3 linked regions of the Diceros bicornis minor genome follow. The main gene of each other region encodes a partner of the protein of the gene in region 3 in a complex. Links are inferred from orthologs where the notes say so. Each region holds a gene or a part of one and is shown on either strand. Other genes may lie near its edges. The genes, in order: KL, FRS2 and FGFR1.

Region 1 (3,742 bases), on a different chromosome or scaffold from region 3:
TTGCAGCATCAGCAAAACCAAGGATCCACTTGTTACTAATTTCTTATGAATACAAAGTCCACTGCATTTCTGGGAAAGATGGTTAGTGTTTGGCAAGTTTTTTCTGTAAGGATACAGAAATATAACTGAAAAGTTAATCAAAGGGCCGAGAGTGGGCACACGAATAAAAAGCATGTTGGCTATTTAAAATAGCAGAGTACCAGAAAGCTCCTCAGTCCCAACTCCTTATCGTATAAATGAAATGATCACATAAGTCACTATAATAACAACTGACGACTTCCGTATACATACAGAGTTTATTACATGCACTCTAAAAAGAGAATTTGCATGACTTAAATCTAAAGTAGTGATTTTGCAGAAATGGTCTCTTAGGTCCTCCAGCTGGTCCACAAATCTCTTATTTGTTTCTGGTATGAACTGAAATTTGCTTATGTTTTCTTCAAAAGAGGAGCCAATTCTTCCCATAGTTTTTCTATCATCAACGATAAACAGGTGGTGTTTGGAGTCTTGATTCTTTAAAAGGACTGACAGACTGAAAAAGTTTATTACCATTGCTCTAAAGTATCTTAATGAAAAGATACATATCAAAAGGAAATCACTAAAATCACATTTATTTTTTCATCAAAGTCCAACATTCTTTTATGATCTGTAGCAAACAGTTTTTGTGGAGCTAACATACAATCTAATTTAGCCATTATTACAACATTACCGGCAGCTCAGAGCACTAAGTCAGCTCAACAGCCCAGCACTGTTCTGCCTCAGTTACCTATGGCTTCAATTATAAGTGTGCAGAAGTGGTCTTTGTCTTGAATTTGTTCAAAATATGTAATTTAATTCTAAATTTAAAAATAGGTCTTCCAGTAGGCCCACAAATCACCAAAATACAGTACCAGAAGTTACCCATTTAAAGTTTCATGCAAATGTCTGCACATACACATAAAATATTCTCTCATGATACAAAACTCTATGAAGTGTACCAACACTGACATTATTATAAATGATCCCCCAAATCAATGGGACCTAATCTTGAACACTAAGTAAAGGAGAAAAAGGAGGAAGAATTATTTGAGAGACAACTTTATCATGGCATGTCAGTACTTCCTGCTGTCAAAATGTATTAAGCCTTTTACACAAGGGTGTTAAAATCAATTTTGTCAGCTAATAATCTCATCCCCGAGGAATCCTTTCAATTGGAGAGAGCATCCTGGAAATACAGTTGTTGTAAGACACAATCTACATTACCCTGTAGCTGTTTCTGTATTTTTATGGCTAGCTTTGCTTAAGAATGTGTAAGGAGTCTTCAGACTCCTGATGATTCAGTCAAGTTGGTGGATGCAGCAGTCCCCTGCCACAGAAGGAACTCCCAAAGACAGTTTAAACTCTCCCAGAAGATGGGATTTTGACACCTTCGCATTTGCTGCAGTGTGAACTTGTGCCACAAGCAACACAGATCTTACAGGATTTACATTGAACTCATGACATCACCACAAACTCTAGCAGAGTAATGCTATTTGTGCGGCTTCCGAACAAACTCGTGTCTTTCATCCCTCCTCATCTCCCTGTAGCTACTACTCGTAAATTCTCCCCGCCTCACCTCTAGGAATTCCCCTAGACCCAGAGAAAGGAGCTCCCTCCTCTCACTGAAGAAACTGATTCTAATTTCTTTTTGACGAATGTGCGCCAAAGGGCACTCACTCGCGCGCCCAACGCGGGATCTCCCTCCCATTCCCAACTCCACGCCTTCCAAGGGAAGCCCAAGCTGTTCATTTCCCCTCGGGGGGCAATTCTAGGTGACCTCACAAACTTGGTCAAATGGAGCCTTGTCTGAGCTGGAGGCTCAGGCACCCCTCTTGCCCCTGGCGTCTCCAGGGGCCCTCTCCCCGCGTGACCCTCCGCCTGGCCCCTCGAACTCACCAGGAGGAGGTTGTGCGCCACCAGGTACCCGAGCTGCGGGCTGCCCCGGACGCCAGGGGCCAGGCGCCCTGTGGCATAGCCGTGCCAGGCCACCACGTAGGGGTTGTCGATGGTGATCCAATACTTGACCTGGCCGCCGAAGTGGCGGAAACAGAGCTCGGCGTAATCTCTGAAGTGGTCGGCCAGGGCGCGGTTGGCCCAGCCGCCGTAGGCGTCCTGCAGGCGCTGGGGCAGGTCCCAGTGGTACAGGGTGACCACGGGCTGCACGCCCAGCTCCCGCAGCCGCTCCAGCAAGCGCCGGTAGTAGCGCAGCCCCTCGCGGTTTGGGGCGCCCGCGCTGCCATTGGGGAGCACTCGCGCCCACGAGATGGAGAAGCGGTAGTGAGTGACCCCGAGTTCACGCAACCCCTCCGTGTCTCGGAAGACGTTGTTGTAGCCGTCGCTGGCCACGTCCCCGGTGGCAGGTGGGGACGGCGAGGGGGCGCCCGTCGGTAGGCCGGCTACCAGGGGACCGCCTAAGGGCGCCGGGGGTTGGTGGGTGAACGTGTCCCAGATGGACGCGCCCTTGCCGTGCTGCTGCCAGCCGCCCTCCGTCTGGTAGGCGGCGCTGCCCACGGCCCAGAGGAAGCCGTCGGGGAAGGTGTCGTGGATGAGGCCCGCGGCCTCGGGGGCCGGAGGGCGCGCGAAGCGGGCCCAGGTCTGCTCCCCGTCGCCGGGCTCGGCGCGCAGGCGGCGGCCGCCCAGGGCCAGCAGCAGGAGCAGCGGCAGCGGCAGGGGCGGCGGCGGCCGCGGGCGGCGCGGCGGGGCGCGGGCGGGCATGCTGCGCGGGAGCCGGGCGCTGGGGCGCCGCGCTGCGCCCCTTTATGCCCGCGCCCCGCCGCGCCGCCCGCCCCCCGCCGGCGCGCCCACCCCCGCTTCCCCGGCGGGCCCTGCTGACAATAATTACCTGCGAGCCGGCGCCTCCCCTACCCTGGAATCGGGGGGGACGGGCTGGGGGAGGGCGGGGGCGCAAAGGGCGATGGGGTGTCCCGGGAGGGGGCGCGACAGCGGGCAAGGTGCAGCAGGCGCCACTCCCGGACGTCGGAGAAAAGGCACCTGTTCCTCGCTGCGCCCGGGAGCCGCTGAGGATGGCTCGGCGACGCAAGTTCTCTCCGCGCCGCCTTCTCTCTCCCATCCGCGCTCCTTCCTGGAAGAAGCCGCGGAGCCGGTGCGCGTCGAGGAGGGAAGGCGGCCAACCAACTTGCCCCGAGTTGGGCGCATCTTTGCCTGCCCTCGCGGAGTCCGCCGGCCGGGAAGCACCTGCTTCCTCTTTTCTCCCACTCGGAGGCCGAGAAAAGCTTTAGATCGACATTGCTAGAGCCGATTAGGAGTTGGCTGAAAGCGTATTGGGAGGGCACGATGAGGAGAGCTAGGTCGGAACTTGGAATGTTGTGAGAGGACTCGTGGCGGACTTTCCCTTAAGGTCTTTGGGTCAGATGCTCGCGTGGGGAGCCACCCCCCTCGCGCAGGGCTGGATGGCCCGTCCTCCAGGCTCCAATCTAGGAAGCCTTGGAGTAAGACAGAGGAGATGTATGGGTTGTGTTGAAACTTTGCTGTACTGTCCTTCTTACTCTTATCTTTTAACCATTTCAAACCAGTACTTGTTCTTGAATTAGATCTTGCAGAATTACTTGGTGAACTTCAAATGACAGTTGTTGATTGTTCTTCTAAAAACAAACAAAAAACAAAACACCAAGGTTTCGACTTTGAGTGACTGTCATTCACATTTATTATCCTTTTGCATCTGTTTTATGAATAATCACGTTTTAGCTTTCAGCAAGTAACTTAT
Region 2 (3,742 bases), on a different chromosome or scaffold from region 3:
AGAAAATGTATGCAAAGCAACTAGCATAGAGCGTAGTGCTAGGTGCTCAATAAATAATAGCTTCAGAGCCACCTTCATATGGATTACTATACCTCCACCACTTTCCATGATCACTCCAGCTAAAAATAAACCCACTTTCCTTTCCTACAACTCCAAACTTTAGGTCAAACCTTCACATATTAAGTATTTACATATATTTATGTTGTAAATTTTTATGTAAACATCTTACATCCCCTTCTAGATTTCAAATTTCTAAAGACCAAAGACTTAATCTTTGTATCCCCTAATGCCTAACAGTGCTTTTCATGAAGCACACACCACCTTCCAATTAGAAAAAAATTTTAATATGCTTAAATACAATTCACCTCTTCATGATTTCTGACACAACTTAGAAAATTACTGCCAAAACATGCTATGGCTGTATCTTTATACGCTCCTACATGGTTGCCTAACGTAGCTTGATGCCGAAGAAAGCAAATGTCCAATATCTGTTGAATTGACATGAACATAATAAAATATACAATGCCCAAGCATATCCGATTTTCCCCAAGTACCTTTTCTGTTCTTACAATTCTTGAAATGTTTTCCTTCAAAACCACTGTTACACCATACTTTCAGTAATGGATCTATAACCATATCTAACTTGACTCCTTTTCCAGATTCTCTAAATTCCAATATTCCAACCTTATGCTCTAAACAATGAAGCACTTCAAACAGCTAAGAATCTAAATTTTCTTCCTAAATCTAAAAGTTGGGCAACTAATCTTCCTCCACAACTTTTTCCAGAGACTTTAAAAATCATCCACCCTTTGCCTGCTGAAGATCAACAACCCTGAAATAAATGTTCTTTTGCATAGGCAGCTCACTGAACTTGTCACTTCAGTCTATTTTCCCTAATTCACCGTATTACCTCCCCTTCCAGTGGTGGGAGGAGAGAGAATGAGATAAGTACTCAAAAAACTACAGTATGAATCCTAATATAAGCACCAGATGAGAAGTGCAGGAACATGTCACTGGTTTCACAACGGTGATTGTGTGTACTTTATACACGCGAAAACAATGGTCACCTGCCCAGAGTCACCACCTGCAGGGACTGCATTCCCTTAGGATCCTAAAAATCACTATTTGGACCGGCCCGGAGGGGTAGCAGTTAAGTGCTCGCGCTCCGCCATTGGCGGCCTGGGGTTCGGATCCCAAGCGCGCATGGACGCACCACTTGTCAAGCCATGCTGTGGCGGTGTCCCATATAAGAAAAAAAAAAGTGGAGGAAGATGGGCACGGATGTTAGCCCAGGACCAGTCTTCCTCAGCAAAAAAAGAGGAGGATTGGCATGGATGTTAGCTCAGGGCTGATCTTCCCCACAAAAAATCACTATTAAAAGCGGAAAACTCTCATTTCTACAAACCTTTCAGGAGCAGTTTATTACCTAAAATCTGTTCACTAAAAATAACTACACGCCACTTTTTCCACTAGGAAATGTTCAATTTACCCAAGGTAAACACTTCATAAGTTAAAACAACAACAACAACATAAAACAAAACACCTCTGCCCACCTATGTGAACCTCTGCATTGCAGCAACAGCTGTAACAGTACACGGGGCCTCTTAGGGGTTACCGAGAACAATGTTTCTTTAAAAGTTAAGGAAAATGACAGATCTAACTATGAAAGTATACAAACTTCAGGGCACAGAGAGTATAATTCTCCAACAATCTACAACCCATTCGTGCAACAACCGCAGATTGAACTCATCAAACCAGCATGACCTCAGAGAGCCACAGGAATTTGGAGATTAGCAGATTACAGAACAGCATCATTCTTTTAAATCTGCAAGAAAATAAGGGAACCTACCTGAACTACTGATTTTCCTCTAGCAAGTTGTTTTCTTAAGAAGCGACTTCAACAACAGCTTGAGCGAGCTTCCCAAGGAGTAAAGACAGCAGGAGGCACGCTGGTGCCACAGCGACCCACGTATCCAGAACCGGCCCCCAGCGCAGTCCAAACCGATCCCGGGCAACCCCGAAGCGAGTATGGACGAAGAGCCTGCCGAAGATCCCGGCCTCCTCCCCGCATCGCCCCGCCCCGGGCTGAGCGGCGACCCCGGGACCCCGGCTCAGCCCCGAGCCCCCGACAGCGCGCGGCGCGCGAAAGCCGGACCTGGGCCCGGGCAGAGTCCGCTGTTCCGGCGCCCAGCCCAGGGCAACCCAGACACCAGACCCCGGAGGCGGCGCGAGGACCCGGGCGCAGAAGAGGGGTCGGAGGGACGGAGGCCCAGCCACCCACCCCGAGTCCCACAGCCACAAGGCGCCCGGAGCCCCCTCCCCGGCCCGCCCCGCCCACCCGCGGCCCGCCGCCGGCTCCTCCCGCCCCGGGTCCGCGACGACCGCGGCGGCCCGCGCCCCTTCCTGCCCGAACCCGACAGCCGAGCCCGCAGCCCGGAGGGGCAGCGGGGCCCCAGGGCGCCCGCCCGACGCGGCCCCGGCCGGCGCAGTCGGCTCCCCGGCCACTCACCGTCGGCCCGGGCGCGGAGGGCGGGCGCGCGCGGGCCCCCGGGCTCCGACCCGGCAGGAACCCCGCTCGGAGCCGATCCAGCCTCCCCCGCTGTGCCCGCAAGGCCTCTCCGGCCCGAACCTTGGAAAAGCACTTCCGGGGGCGCGGGGCAGGGAGGGTTTGGCACCGGAACTGCTCGCGGGCTGGGGCTGACAGGGCCTCCCGGGGGCGGGGCCTCTCCGCGCGGCGCCCGCGGCCCAGCCCCCGACTGCTCGCCGACACCCCCGCGGCCCCGCCCCAGGCTGCCCGGAGGCCCCGCCCCCGACTGCTCGTTGACACTCCCGCGGCCCCGCCCCCGGCTACCCCGAGTCCCCGCCCCCGACTGCCCCGCGGCCCCGCCCCCGGCTGCTCGTCAAACCCCGCGGCCCCGCCCCAGGCTGCCCCGAGTCCCCCCGCCCCCGGCTGTCCCGCGGCCCCGCCCCCGGCTGCCCGTCAACCCCGAGGCCCCGCCCCCGGCCGCGGCGGCCCCGCCCCTGCCCCTGGGCCTGTCCCATCTACCCGGCCGCCTGATTTGACAGACGAGGAAACCCAGGCTCAGAGAATTGAGGTGCGGGGCCCTGCGCGTACCCCGGCCTCCTGACTCCAGTGTCCCTCCGCTCCAGTCCACCTGCTCTAAGAATCATGAGTTACATTTACTGAGCGCTTCCTACGGGTAGGCGCTGTATAAGGAACCGTCCCAAATCCTCTGACATTGGCCTGGTCTCTACATCTTGGGAGAAGGAAACCTGTCAAAGGTACCAAGCCCAATGCCACCACAAAGGTCGGCTCCCGATTTTATTTTAACTCGTGTCGTGTGTATAAATCTCATCTACCCCTAACAAGAGTCTTAAATTTTTGAAGGGCAGGAACCAAATTATACTCCTGTATGTATTCTATCATCACTTGGAATTTCAGCAGAGGCCAAGAGCTGGGGGCTCTGGAATTTTATTGTCTGGATCCTGTATTTACATTTACTTTTTCACCCTAGGCAAGTTGCTTGACCTCTAAGCCTCAGATTCCTCATTTGTAGTATATTTGATGAATGTGTGTGTGTGTACAGGTACATATATAATCATCTGTGTATCATTGTAGGAATTCAAAATGAAAATGCATGATGAGCCTCCAGTATACCTAGTACCAACGCAGCACTGGGTAAAAGTCACCAGTTCTCATACCTCATCAACAATAGGAAACTATTTCTCCTCCAGTGGAGTC
Region 3 (3,742 bases):
GTGTGACACTTTCGGTGCCCTGACATCCCTTATTTTATTTGATTCTCATGACAACCTTGTAAGGGACTCCCAACCAACTGGGGGAAACGTGTAAACAAGTCTTGATTTTTTCAGACACATGACGTCCAAAATCAAACAGTTCATAAGTAGGGGACCAGAATGGAGGTATCTTTCATACCTAGTGTGGCATCCTCCTCACCCTACCAGTGGTCCCCATCTTGGCACCACGGAGCCATAAAAAAAAGTACAGACTCTTTGCTCCTTCCTGGGACAGCCTGATTCCTCAGGTCTGAGCAGGTCCAAGAATATGTATTTTTCAGAAGTTCCTCAGAGGACTCATGTACATTTGGATTAGGGAACCACTTAGATTATACCATCCTATGGAAGGACCCAGGGGAAAGGGCATTTTAGCCACTTTTCCTGGGGTTCCATAGAGTGCTGGAGAGTGCCCTGGGTGGGAACGGATTAATTTCCAAACTAGCAACACCCTCCAGCTCCCTCCACTCATTCTTTACTTTCGAAACATTTACTGCAGGCTGGAGACTTCTGGAGGCCAAGAAGTGCGCTGTAGAATTTACCGGACCCAGCTCCCCGTGGACCCCCAAACCAAAACTATGTAGCTGGGGAACGTGAGATGGAAGGAGAGGGTCTGAGGAGGGGTTCGACCTTCTCCTGAATAAAAATAGCTTGTATTTCTTGAGTAACTATGTGCCAAGCCCTCACTTAATCCTCAACCCTATGCGGCAAGTATTATTATCGCCCTTTTACAGATGAGAAAACTGAGATGTCGAGTGAGAAAAGCATTTCTCCAAGACACACAGTCAGACTTCCAAAGCCCGTGCTACCACGGACAACCTTCGGGCTACAAGTCTCCTAACCTCACCCCCTAACCCGTTAATGTGTCCACGGCTTGAAATTCGGGCGCCCTCCTGGCGGTGCTCAGATGGAGGGGCACGCGCGCCAGAGGAGACCAGCGTGCAGGGAAGGAGGGGCAGAGTTCCAGGCAGCTCCGCCGGCTCCCCCCTTCCCGGGGGCCGCGGCTCGGGAACTACAAGGCCCAGCAGGCTGCTGCAGGGGGAGGAGGAGGAGGTGGGACCAGCGCGGGGTGGGAGTGAGAGAGCGAGCCCTTGCGCCTCGCCGGCGCACAGCGCTCGGAGCGCTCCTGCGGGCACTGGTGCGGCGGGCTCGGCAGCAGGCGGCAGCGAGCAGGAGCCCGAACTCTGGTCCAGCCGCCGCGCGCGGAGGAGCCCGGGCTGTGCCCGGAGCTGGGCGGCAACGTCCGGAGAGGACCGAGACTCTGCTTAGCGCATTGCGGCGACCTCGCCTTCCCCGGCCGCGAGCGCGCGCCGCAGCTGGAAAAGCAGCGGAGACCGAGGACTTTTCGCTGGTCCGAGGGGCGCCCCGCAGGGCGCACCGTACCAGGGCTGCAGTCGGGCACGCCGCGGCGCCGGGGCGATGGAGCCCGGTCTGCAAGAAGCTTGAGGCGCCGCCGCCCGGTTCTGGAAAGGGGGGCCACAGGGTCTGGAGACCCCGGGCGGCGGACGGGAGCCCTCCCCCCGCCCCGCCTCCGGGGCACCAGCTTCGGCTCCATTGTTCCCGCCCGAGCTGGAGGCGCCGAGCACCGAGCGCCACCGGGAGTCGAGCGCCGGCCGCCGGGCTCTTGCGGCCCCGCCAGGACCCGAGCGGAGCCCGGGGGTGGCGGGCCGGAGCCGGGGACGCGGGCGCCCGCACAAGCCACGGCGGACTCTCCAGAGGCGGAACCGCAGCGCCGAGTGAGGTAAGAGCCGCGGCGCCCCCAGATCCGGGGCGGGCTTGGCGTCCCGAGCGGCCCCCGGCGCCGGAGCCTCCCGGCTGCGCGCTCTCCCCACCGAAGCCCAGTCGGATCCGGCGCCTCCCTCTACTCCTTACCCGCCCCCCTCCAACTCCCGACTCCCCCCCAGCGCTCTGCGCCCCCCTTTTGTCTCCCCTCCCTTCCCTCCGCTCGCGTCGCCTCTGCGCCCCCTCCCCGCGCTCGTCCCGCCGCTCCTCCTGCCGCCCAACTTTTCCGCCAACTCGCGCTGAGGAGCTGGCGAGGCGGCGGCGGCGGCTCCGCGGTGAGTCCGGGGAGGGACAGGGCCGGGGCGAAGGCGGCAGCCGCCCTCAGTGTCCTCGGACTGGGGAGGAGGGCGGGAGTGGGCAGCGAGAGGGGGAGTGTGTGTGTGTGTGCGCGTGTGCGTGTGTGTGTGTGTTGCATTCCACTCCGTCTCTTTTTTGAATTGGGGACTCACCCCAATTCAGCAGGTAGCTTTGGGTGGAACCCTAAAAATTCAGGGTGTTTCTAAGTCCTTTTCCACCTCCGGGAAAGTCTGGGGTCGGGGTTTGGCGGGGGGGCGCATGATGAGGCAAGGAACTGGAGGAGTAGGTTAGCTTCTCTCCGATTAGGTTTTAAGGAGGTGTCGTCACCAAATGGCTGCATCTGCTTTAGCGGAGAGCGAGAAAGGAATTCCCTTTTCCAGAGGGGGTTATCTTCTATTTAGTCCATCTCAGAAAGGGTCGGAAGTTTGGGGAAGGGGAGGGCGCCCAGCGGGTGATGTTAAGCCCCATTATGGGGTCGGGGGGAGGGGAATGTTCAGTTCCAATCTGGTTCTAGGAGGTGGGGGAAGGGATGAGGGTTTTGTCCGGTGCGGTTCACTCGGCAGCGATGCATGTTGCTTCTCTGGCCCAGACCCTTCTGCCCCCTGCTCCCCTCTCGCATTATGTTTGGGGTTGGGAGAGAGGGGCTAGAACCCTCATCTGCAGAGGAATTTATGGACGTTATAGATGGAGTTCATTTAACACATGTCCTATGAAGGCAGCCAGCCGCCTTTGGGGAGGGGGTGTGAGACCAGCTTCTCTTTTCTGGGCCCGGAAGCTGTTCGTCCATTTAAAAGTTTCTGGGTGTCTTTCACCCCCAACACTTTTCCCCCCATTTTCCAGATGTAGCGGCCACATCTGGTTCCGTTTCTCCCCACACGGGTACACCGCAGCCACATTATTAACATCCCTCTTCCTCCCTTCTCTCTCCCCCAGATTAAAACTGAGATTCTTCGACTGGTCCTTACCACCTTCCTCTGTAAAATTTCTTAAGACTTGGAGGCTTTGGGATTGAGGGAGAAAAGAAGGTTACCCTGGATCTCGGGTTATTTAGGATCAGATGGTGGTGGTGCTTTCTAGCTTGTGCAGAAAAGAGGCATCGTGGGCAGGATCGTAGGAGATAGGGCCAAGGTCTTAGGGGGTGTCACTTGCGAAAGGTTCATCTGCCAGAGGTGGCCTCTTTGGCCATGGGTCTGACCCACAACTGTCCCTGACGGAAGTTTCTGGAACCAAAGCGTTGCTTTTTCGTCCCTTCAGTTACAGCTGGAGCAGCGGGAGCGTCGGACTCTGTCCGGAGCCCGCCGTCCGGTCTCCGGCCGCCCGGCGGTGGCGTCACGCGTCCCTTTTCCACCCTCTCTGGAGCGAGCCCGTGCGCGGCGGCCGAGGGTGTGTATGGGGGCGGGGGCTGTTGCGTGCTCCTTTGCGTTTTAAGGAGCTATTTGGGCTGCAGTCCCCGGAAATTGAAGTGGGCCAGTTTGCCACTTAAATAACGGCTCCAGGTTTGAAAGCAGGGGTGGGATTGTTGAGGAGGTTTTGGTAAAATCCTTTAAGGTAGGAAAGCACCTTATGGCCCAAAGTGGCGGCAGGGTGGGGCGAGTTGGTCTCTCTCACCCTCTCCTTTCCAGTCTCT

The links.
Region 1: the proteins of FGFR1 (region 3) and KL are in contact, whole or in part, in a cryo-EM structure (PDB 7YSH), measured with the Homo sapiens proteins. The link is inferred for Diceros bicornis minor from reciprocal best matches to the Homo sapiens genes FGFR1 and KL. Residues at the interface, in NP_075598.2 of Homo sapiens: Asn272, Gln288, Leu290, His292, Ile293, Asn296, Gly301, Pro302, Leu305, Pro306, Tyr307, Val308, Gln309, Ile310, Leu311, Lys312, Glu322, Leu326, His327, Leu328, Arg329, Asn330, Glu334, Asp335, Thr340, Leu342, Leu349, His351; in NP_004786.2 of Homo sapiens: Ser539, Gln540, Phe541, Asp543, Leu544, Asn545, Val546, Tyr547, Leu548, Trp549, Asp550, Val551, Lys555, Arg556, Leu557, Val560, Val563, Thr565, Lys566, Arg568, Tyr571, Val573, Ala576, Glu625, Arg628.
Region 2: the proteins of FGFR1 (region 3) and FRS2 are in contact, whole or in part, in an NMR structure (PDB 1XR0), measured with the Homo sapiens proteins. The link is inferred for Diceros bicornis minor from reciprocal best matches to the Homo sapiens genes FGFR1 and FRS2. Residues at the interface, in NP_075598.2 of Homo sapiens: His409, Ser410, Gln411, Met412, Ala413, Val414, His415, Lys416, Leu417, Ala418, Lys419, Ser420, Ile421, Pro422, Leu423, Arg424, Arg425, Gln426, Val427, Thr428, Val429, Ser430; in NP_001036020.1 of Homo sapiens: Asn25, Val26, Asp27, Asp28, Leu33, Leu47, Thr49, Arg50, Asp53, Ser54, Val55, Trp57, Leu60, Cys61, Leu62, Arg63, Arg64, Tyr65, Gly66, Tyr67, Asp68, Ser69, Leu71, Ser73, Phe74, Gln81, Thr82, Ile86, Phe87, Ala88.

The regions. Positions count from the first base shown.
Region 1 is NC_080748.1:15,778,941-15,782,682, reverse strand, and holds the start of KL (klotho), read right to left. Parts: upstream 2,734-3,742; coding exon 1,915-2,733; intron 1-1,914. UniProt on the Homo sapiens protein: May have weak glycosidase activity towards glucuronylated steroids. However, it lacks essential active site Glu residues at positions 239 and 872, suggesting it may be inactive as a glycosidase in vivo.
Region 2 is NC_080756.1:1,868,744-1,872,485, forward strand, and holds the start of FRS2 (fibroblast growth factor receptor substrate 2), read right to left. Parts: upstream 2,590-3,742; 5' UTR 2,510-2,589; intron 2,243-2,509; exon of another isoform or gene 1,850-2,242; intron 1-1,849. UniProt on the Homo sapiens protein: Adapter protein that links activated FGR and NGF receptors to downstream signaling pathways.
Region 3 is NC_080768.1:35,047,861-35,051,602, reverse strand, and holds the start of FGFR1 (fibroblast growth factor receptor 1), read left to right. Parts: upstream 1-1,156; 5' UTR 1,157-1,777; intron 1,778-3,742. UniProt on the Homo sapiens protein: Tyrosine-protein kinase that acts as a cell-surface receptor for fibroblast growth factors and plays an essential role in the regulation of embryonic development, cell proliferation, differentiation and migration.